Linked DNA regions of Arabidopsis thaliana. The protein of the gene in region 1 interacts with the protein of each later gene in a pairwise test. Each region holds a gene or a part of one and is shown in the gene's direction. Other genes may lie near its edges.

Region 1 (4,000 bases):
AAATAACGAATGATTCATTTATACCAAAACTATATAGATATTAATTAAGTAAATGAATTATTTACCGAAAGTTTTCCAACAATCATATGAGCTTTGTAGAAAATATCTTTAACATCATCATCATCACCCCAAGCATCTTCAAATTTGGAGATCAAATCTTCAGTCACAAGCTCAACTCCACGTTCTTTAGCTTTCATTGCGGGCTGCCACGATCTCAAGAAACCGATAAACCCTTTAAGCGATAGCTTATGAGGAATGTCAAGCATTATAGGCTTCCCTTCTGATCCCATCCCTATACTTTCAAACGGAAACGGCAACGTTTTATAACCGTCGAAAGCAAGATTCATTACAGGAGTTCTAAACGGGAACGTGGAGTCCACAAGACGTTTCATGATGGAATCAACTTCAGGAGAGATGATTATGTCGTTGTAGACAAAAACTGCGATTAATCCTCCTTCTTTGCGAAGAACACGTTTTGCTACGTTGTAGAATGGTGCGAGATCGAAGTAGTGAACGGCTTGTGCTGCCACGATTAGATCAACGGAGTTATCTCCGCCGACTAGAGCAACCATTTGGTCTTCGGACATTGTTGTGGGAGTGTGATGGTAACTGATTCTTTCGTGTTTTACCGCTCGTTTTAACTGTGCTTCGTTTATGTCGGTTGCTGTAACTTTCTCGAAATACTCTGCAAGCTGCAATTAAATTAAACCATGGTAAATGTTGATTAACATTTTAGGTGAATAGTACAATGACAAATACCATTACAAATTTGAACCAAACAAATTTTTTGTTTAATAATTATAAATGAGGTAGATTAGTAACTTTTATTTTCTCAAAATAAAACAAGAGAAATCATGTTCTCAAAATGTGAAAATGTTAATAATTGGTACTTCATTCATAATCATCACTAACATTAGACGTTAATAGTATCGATTGAGATAAATCTATGCTCTAATTAAATCATAAACTCATTAGAAAGAAGCCATTCATCTTCTTCTCTCCTCTCAACTAAAGCTAATAAATCCATAATTGTGTTCTTCTAGAGGGATTAAAACGACATCGTTTGAGAGATCTAAGTGAAGCAGAGTACATAAGAAAGTGGAAACTTTTGGAACAAGATGGAAGAAGCTTACACCAATAGCTGCTTGACCGTTGCCAGTACCAACATCCCAAGCTGATTTGTGCTGACCGGTTCGAGCAGCAAGTTTCGTGAACCAATCGATCGGATATCTCGGCCTTGCGTTCTGGTAAGCATCCGCTAACTTATCCGACAAGGCAGCCATTGTTTTTTTCTCTGTTTTCTTGTTCTTGTTGTTCTATTGCTTTGTATCTCTGTATTGGTCTATGAGAATTAAGTCACTCATGTGTTGTTGTTATATACTGATTGTGGTTTTTGCAGTAGATGAGAAGAATGAGACCAAGTCAAGTTTTCAAAGTCAGCTCTGGCGACGAGTCTACTCCTTACCCCCAAGAATTGGTCCCCTCTTCAATTTTCCAAATCATTTGAATTTATTTCTTTTTTGCTACTCTCGTTGTATATAGTTGACTTTTCTTGAATCTCACTTGTCACACAACTACATTATCTTTTACGATTCTCAATCAATATATCTCTAATAATAGTATTCTGTTACAAATAGGAAATTAATTCAATAAAAATGCAAGATTCAATAATTTCCATTGTGAAAGACTGAAAGTCAAAGATCACAAGATATAAGACCAAACAAGCTGTTAAAATTATTTGAGGCATATATTATAAAGTTGTAAATTTACCTTTTTTTTTCCCCACAATTTACATTTCTTTTCTTATAGGCCCAGTATTGTATGGGCTTTAATTGATGGGTCGTATTCGGTATTCAGGATAAACAATTATATTTGGTATGAGTTTCGGTTTATCATCAATCAATATATTAGCTAATCTTCGCCGATTGAATCTTCATCATTCTCGATCAGTGGTTGTTACCTGAGAAACCCTAGATTTCAATTCCCAACACCTTAATTTTGTTCGACAAACCCAAGAAGATTCGATGGGTAAGAACGATTTTCTAACCCCAAAGGCGATTGCGAATCGAATTAAAGCCAAAGGACTTCAAAAGCTTCGATGGTATTGTCAGATGTGTCAGAAACAATGCCGAGACGAGAATGGATTCAAGTGTCATTGTATGAGCGAATCTCACCAGAGGCAGATGCAAGTTTTTGGGCAGAATCCGACTCGTGTTGTCGATGGTTACTCTGAAGAATTCGAGCAGACGTTTCTCGATCTGATGAGGCGGAGCCACCGTTTCTCTCGTATCGCTGCCACTGTTGTCTACAATGAGTATATTAACGATAGACATCATGTTCACATGAATTCGACGGAGTGGGCGACGTTGACGGAGTTTATCAAGCATCTTGGGAAAACTGGTAAGTGTAAGGTTGAAGAAACTCCTAAAGGTTGGTTTATTACTTATATAGATAGAGATTCTGAGACTTTGTTTAAGGAGAGGTTGAAGAATAAGAGAGTTAAGAGTGATTTAGCTGAGGAGGAGAAGCAAGAGAGGGAGATTCAGAGACAGATTGAGAGAGCTGCTGAGAAATTGAATGGTGGTGGTGGTGAAGGTGAAACCAGTGGTAATGATGAAGTTGTGGATGATGGTGATGATGAGAGGAAGAAAGATGAAGACTTGAGGTTGAAGAGTGGGGTCAAGGTTGGATTTGCTCTTGGTGGAGGTGTTAAACAGGTTGCTACGGGTAAAGAGAGAGGGGAAAGCTCGAAACTTTTGTTTGGGGATGAAGAGAATGACAAGGTTGAGAGAGGGGAGAAGAGGAAGAGAAGTGGGGACTCCGGGAGGAGCGAGAAGGAGAGGAGATCAGCTTTGGATGAGTTGATGAAGGAGGAAGAGAAGAAGAAGGAGAGGATGAATCGGAAAGATTACTGGTTGTTCGAAGGGATCATTGTGAAGGTGATGAGTAAGGCTTTGGCAGAGAAAGGGTATTATAAGCAAAAAGGTGTTGTGAAGAAAGTGATTGATAATTATGTTGGGGAGATCAAAATGCTTGATTCTAAACATGTGTTGAGAGTTGATCAAAAGGAGCTAGAGACTGTGCTTCCACAAATTGGAGGGATGGTGAAGATAGTGAATGGGGCATATCGTGGTTCGAATGCAAGGTTGTTGGGTGTGGATACAGAGAAGTTCTGTGCTAAAGTGCAGATCGAGAAAGGTGTCTATGATGGAAGAGTCATCAAGTCCATTGAGTACGAGGACATATGCAAACTTGCTTAGTTATATCTTTTAGACCATATCGGGTTTTACGATGCCTTGTATTTCTGCTTGAACCTCTTTTTTTTATATACAAGTGAAGCACTCTGTTTCCTGATAGCTAGCCGCGTTAAAAAGGTACTGCAGATGAATCTATTTCACACATGTTATTCGATCTGGTTTGTAGAACGAATTGTTTTATGTATGGCTACTGTGTAGTATCTTCGAGAAATCTTATGATGTTTTGAATGTGCGTTTGCAAACGAAGCTTGAATAGTAAACTCCAAGTACTGAGATGAAATGTCATGAAAGGCATGAAGTTAAACACATAGGCAGCCTAACTAGAATATTAGAAATGTTGCATTCGACATTTTAATAAAACCAAGTTATCCATTAACTTCTCTACTATATAAGATATCTTTGAAATTGTTCTCTGTTCTTTCATCTTTTCATTCTCTTATTTTTCTCGGTTCTCTTTTCTTTCTTTCATACAAACATATCATATGTAACAAGTTATTCTATAAGTTAAATCATATAAAAAGGTTTGAGTTTCTTTTGTCTTATGATTTTAGTTTTTACCATCGAAATTATTGACCTAAACAAGTTCATAAATTTGGCGATCTAATTAAGTAAAGAAATTTCAATAAATGTAGGAGACTAATTTTTTTTCCCCCCCACAAACACTATTTTATTTAAGTAATCGGTAATAAACTCTCCGCTAGAGAAAGCCATTCAGGAACCGATGTGCTTTCATGGGAGAAAAG
Region 2 (4,548 bases), on another chromosome or scaffold:
TTTGCAGGTTGTAAATCAACACTTTCAATTTTAGAAGATGTTTAATTCTTGGAGGTTTTTAGATGGAAATGTGTTCATTGGATGCTTGATTACTCTTCCATGTGAAGGAAAATTCCTCGCTATGCTAATAAAAGCGTAAGGGCATCGGTTCTTCATGGATGATAGATCAAGGTGTTGTGGTTGATTGGAGAAGAGTATGACGAGTTGGGGTTCACGTCATGTTTTAATGGTCCTCCAAGGAATATTCTAATCCTAATCAGCTGAAGTTTAAATTTCCGGTGACCAAACTAACTCCAATAGACTATTTCCGGTGATCCTTGGCAAAAGGCATTCGGTACAACTAAATGTGGGTAGAAAGTTTCATGGAGGAGCTGAATCATTTGCTGACCGGCGGAAGATTTCTCCGGCGAAGCAGTGACGGGGCATGTGCTGAAACGTTGATCTACGCTGCAATCTCCACATTGCATACATGTGTCATCATATTGTCTATTTAATGTTTGCAATTAGTGGGCTTTTGGCCTCAAGTTGTACCTGTTTATGAAGCCCATTTGGGCTAATTAATAGAAAAATGTTTGCCGTTAAAAAAAAAAAAAAAAAAGTGGTTCGATGGTCGTAAATAACTTTTATGGGTTTTGGTCTTGGGTTAGAGAATTCAAATTCATGGGCCAACCCAATTTTCATTTTAAGTGCTTCTTCTATGATGACATTTCACGAAAATAATACAATGGATTGTCGAGGAAAGAAGTGATGTTTTCTGTAAATTGTTAGGCATTAGTTATTGGAGAAGCGAAATGTGAAATGCACATTGTTTGTTGGCTATTAACTTGCTTTTAAAGGTGACTTGAACATATTTGGTGTCTTATGTTGATTCCGAAGCTATGAGTACTTTTGATCAATCTAGTTTATGAAGTTACTTTTAGCATCGCCTTCTCGATTTTGTTACTGCCATCACATGTCAAGTTGGTTTTGATGTTTTGTAAGCATTGATAAGCTTTAACGAACAAACTTTTTTTTGTTATCATTACTGCGTATTGGAGTTTTGCATTACATCTTTTGCTTCTCTTATGGCTGAGCAGGGCCGGCCCTGGGCTAAAGTTGGTGAAACTCATGCTTTACGCGCCTAAAATTATAGATAATATTAAAGGGCATCAAATTTTAAAAATGTTTCGTAGTCTAGTGATTGTTTCATAGATTAGTGACTCTTTCGTGGACAGTTCGAACCTTACCTTCGTTTTTTTGAGACTTTAATTATAAATAGATTTAAAATGCTTAAGAATTTTAAATGAGCTTAAAGATGTTTTAGGCATCAAAATCTGTTGGGTTAGCCCTCTGGCTGAGTCTGAGCTCGCAGCATGCAATACTAATTTCTTAAGCTGCAATGCAGTGAGAAGACAAGTAAAACAAGATTAACATTAGCCCAAACTAGATTATTCACAACAAATGTTAATGACTATTACCTTGCTATCTTTATATTTAGCCTCTTTTGTTTGAGCTTAATTTTCAAAAATAATTTGCTTTCTGTCGGTTTAGTTTCTAGAAGGATTCGACTCTTAGTATCTTATCGGCTTCGTGAAGAAAAACTGTATTTCACCCATATATTTCTCAATCGTATTCGTATCTCACCCATGTATTCATATATCGTATTATAAAACAGAAAAGATATATAGATAAGGAAAAAAAACTCATATATATATATTTGCATATATAAAGTATTAAATGCAACAGCTATAGCAAAAAGGTTCTATGGTCTAGCGGTTAGGACATTGGACTCTGAATCCAGTAACCCGAGTTCAATTCTCGGTAGAACCTCTTTTTTTCACACTCCGGCCAAATTTTTTCCCCCGGCGATTTATGAACCCTAAATATAACGCCGGCCAACAACCAAAACTCGACGCTACTGCGAAATCTTTTTCTTTATCCTTTTTTTTCTTCTTTTTCGGGCGAAATGGAGAATTCGTTGCTTGATTCTGGTGAAACTATGGAGATTGTCGCTACACAAAAAATCGAGGAAACAGTGAAGAGCATACTCAGTGAATCTGATATGGACCAAATGACGGAGTTCAAACTCCGACTTGACGCTTCGGCTAAACTCGGTATCGACTTATCGGGAACCAATCACAAGAAGCTAGTCAGAGATGTTCTTGAGGTCTTTTTGCTATCGACTCCCGGTGAAGCACTCGTACCGGAGACGGTGGCTCCGGCGAAAAATGAGACAGTTTCTGTTGCTGCCGCTTCCGTTGGTGGTGAAGATGAGCGCTTTATTTGTAAGGTTGCGACTTTGCCTATTTGTTCTATGTTTGATTCACTGTATAGAGTAGAGATTGTGATCATCTCGATTTTGAGTTTTTCAGTGGTCACTGTAGAAATTGTTGGTCTTTAACTGTAGTTATCGGAGAAGCAAAATGCGACGGTTCAAAGATACAGAGGCCAACCTTTTCTATCGATTGGTTCTCAGGAACATGGAAAGGCTTTTAGAGGTAATTTGAAACACAACTTGGTGTCTTGGTCTTGACTATGAAGCTATAAGTAGCCATTTTTGTTTTAGATATGCTCCTGTTGATTTCAATTGTTAGATGTTTCTTCTCTGTCAGGAGCACATTTGTCAACTAACCAATGGTCTGTAATCAAGAAGAATTTTGCAGCGATAGAGGACGGTATTAAGCAGTGCCAATCAAAACTAAAGTAAGAATGTGTACCTTATTTTAAGTCTATAAAGATTCATGTTCCCTGGCATTGCTTTTAGTGTTTTATGGTCATATAATCATCGTGGCATAGGGCATTACTGTCTGGCTAGCAATGTAGGCTGCTTATCTTGCTATTAAACGTTATGCAGATCTGAAGCAGCACGAAATGGAGATACTTCTGAGGCTGTGGATAAGGACAGCTCTCACGGTTTTTCTGTTATCAAGATTTCACGATTTGATGGAAAGAGTTATCTTTACTGGGCTTCACAGATGGAACTCTTTCTGAAGCAATTGAAGCTGACTTATGTACTCTCTGAACCTTGTCCCAGTATTGGTAGCTCTCAAGGCCCTGAAACCAACCCCAGGGAAATAACTCGAGCTGATGCTACGGGGAAAAAATGGTTGAGAGATGATTACCTGTGCTATACTCACTTGATGAACTCCTTGTCAGATCATCTATACCGTCGATACTCTCAGAAATTTAAGCATGCCAAAGAATTGTGGGACGAGTTAAAATGGGTCTACCAGTGTGATGAATCCAAATCGAAGAGGTCACAAGTCAGAAAGTACATTGAATTCAGAATGGTGGAAGAGAGACCGATACTCGAGCAAGTCCAAGTCTTTAACAAGATTGCGGATTCCATAGTGAGTGCTGGTATGTTTCTTGATGAGGCATTTCATGTGAGTACCATCATCTCCAAGTTTCCCCCGTCTTGGAGAGGCTTCTGCACCAGGTTAATGGAAGAGGAGTATTTACCAGTCTGGATGTTGATGGAACGAGTAAAAGCTGAGGAAGAGCTTCTCAGAAATGGAGCAAAAGGGGTTACATATAGACCAGCCACAGGCTCCTCTCAGATGGAAAGGACACCGAGTCTAGGAACAACACATAGAGGATCTCAGAGCGTAGGTTGGAAGAGGAAAGAACCTGAGAGAGACGAGAGAGTCATCATCGTCTGTGACAACTGTGGGAGGAAAGGACATCTCGCAAAGCATTGCTGGGGTAGTAAATCTGATGAGAGAGCTTCCGGAAAATCAAACCGGATCAACTCCTCAGTCGCTGCACCTGTGGAATCAGAGACTCAAGCAACAACAAACAATGATAGGGGGTAGTAGTTGATGATTGCTGAAGCCAAAATGTTTATATCTCTTCACAGATATACTTAAAGAGGTAAGTCTTTTGAATACCGTTGATTCAGGATTCAGAAGCAGTCCTTTTATGACCTTTTTTCAGCTTGTCCATATGTCTGGCCTATTAGATTTATGACACTGAAATGTATAAAAGAAGAACAGAGAGATGACCAATAGATCAGTTTTGGCCTGATTTAATGTAAAAGTATACTTTTATGAATGATAATTTTTTTGTCAAAATTGCTTTTTAAATCCTATTTTGAGGAACCAAAATAAAAACAGAAACCTCAAAACTGATATACAAACAAATAAACTGACATCAATTGAGGTGACAATACTTAACACACAACCAAAAATTAAGAGTTTCTTTGTCCCAAGCGTTATGGAAGATATTCTCAGCCTCTAAAATTAAACTTGAACGTCGAAATTTTAAAAAGGACCAGATGGAGAGTAATATAAAATTAGCGGGTGAAAAATAGAAGAAATTAAAAGTTTCAGGGTGAAAAGGAAAAAAAATGAAACCTGTCAGACCGCCGTGCGACCACCCCGGCAAGGGAGAACCGAGCCGAGTAACCATCCTCTACAGCACCGGATGCATCCAAGGACAATCGTAGCCGTCAATCACGCTCAAGCCGCACGGTCACGGTTCATCAACAAGGGTTTAGGGCCTGTCTCTTGAGAAATTTTCTCAAGAAAACAGATGTACGAGCCTATAGTTCAAGTAAGGTCGTGACCA

The links. The genes of interacting proteins can lie anywhere in the genome.
Region 2: the proteins of AT1G55460 (region 1) and AT4G00980 interact in a two-hybrid assay, tested with the Arabidopsis thaliana proteins (one large-scale study listed by BioGRID).

The regions. Positions count from the first base shown.
Region 1 is NC_003070.9:20,705,543-20,709,542, forward strand, and holds AT1G55460 (DNA/RNA-binding protein Kin17, conserved region), read left to right. Parts: upstream 1-1,764; 5' UTR 1,765-2,024; coding exon 2,025-3,260; 3' UTR 3,261-3,485; downstream 3,486-4,000. Other genes in the region: AT1G55450 (S-adenosyl-L-methionine-dependent methyltransferases superfamily protein), read right to left, coding at 66-692, 1,107-1,283. UniProt on the Arabidopsis thaliana protein: Promotes the copper deficiency response by direct interaction with SPL7. Acts with SPL7 in a common pathway to promote copper-responsive genes and alleviate oxidative stress during copper-limiting periods. May promote SPL7 function when copper is limiting.
Region 2 is NC_003075.7:421,978-426,525, reverse strand, and holds AT4G00980 (zinc knuckle (CCHC-type) family protein), read left to right. Parts: upstream 1-1,937; 5' UTR 1,938-1,945; coding exon 1,946-2,269; intron 2,270-2,386; coding exon 2,387-2,477; intron 2,478-2,591; coding exon 2,592-2,682; intron 2,683-2,833; coding exon 2,834-3,794; 3' UTR 3,795-4,048; downstream 4,049-4,548.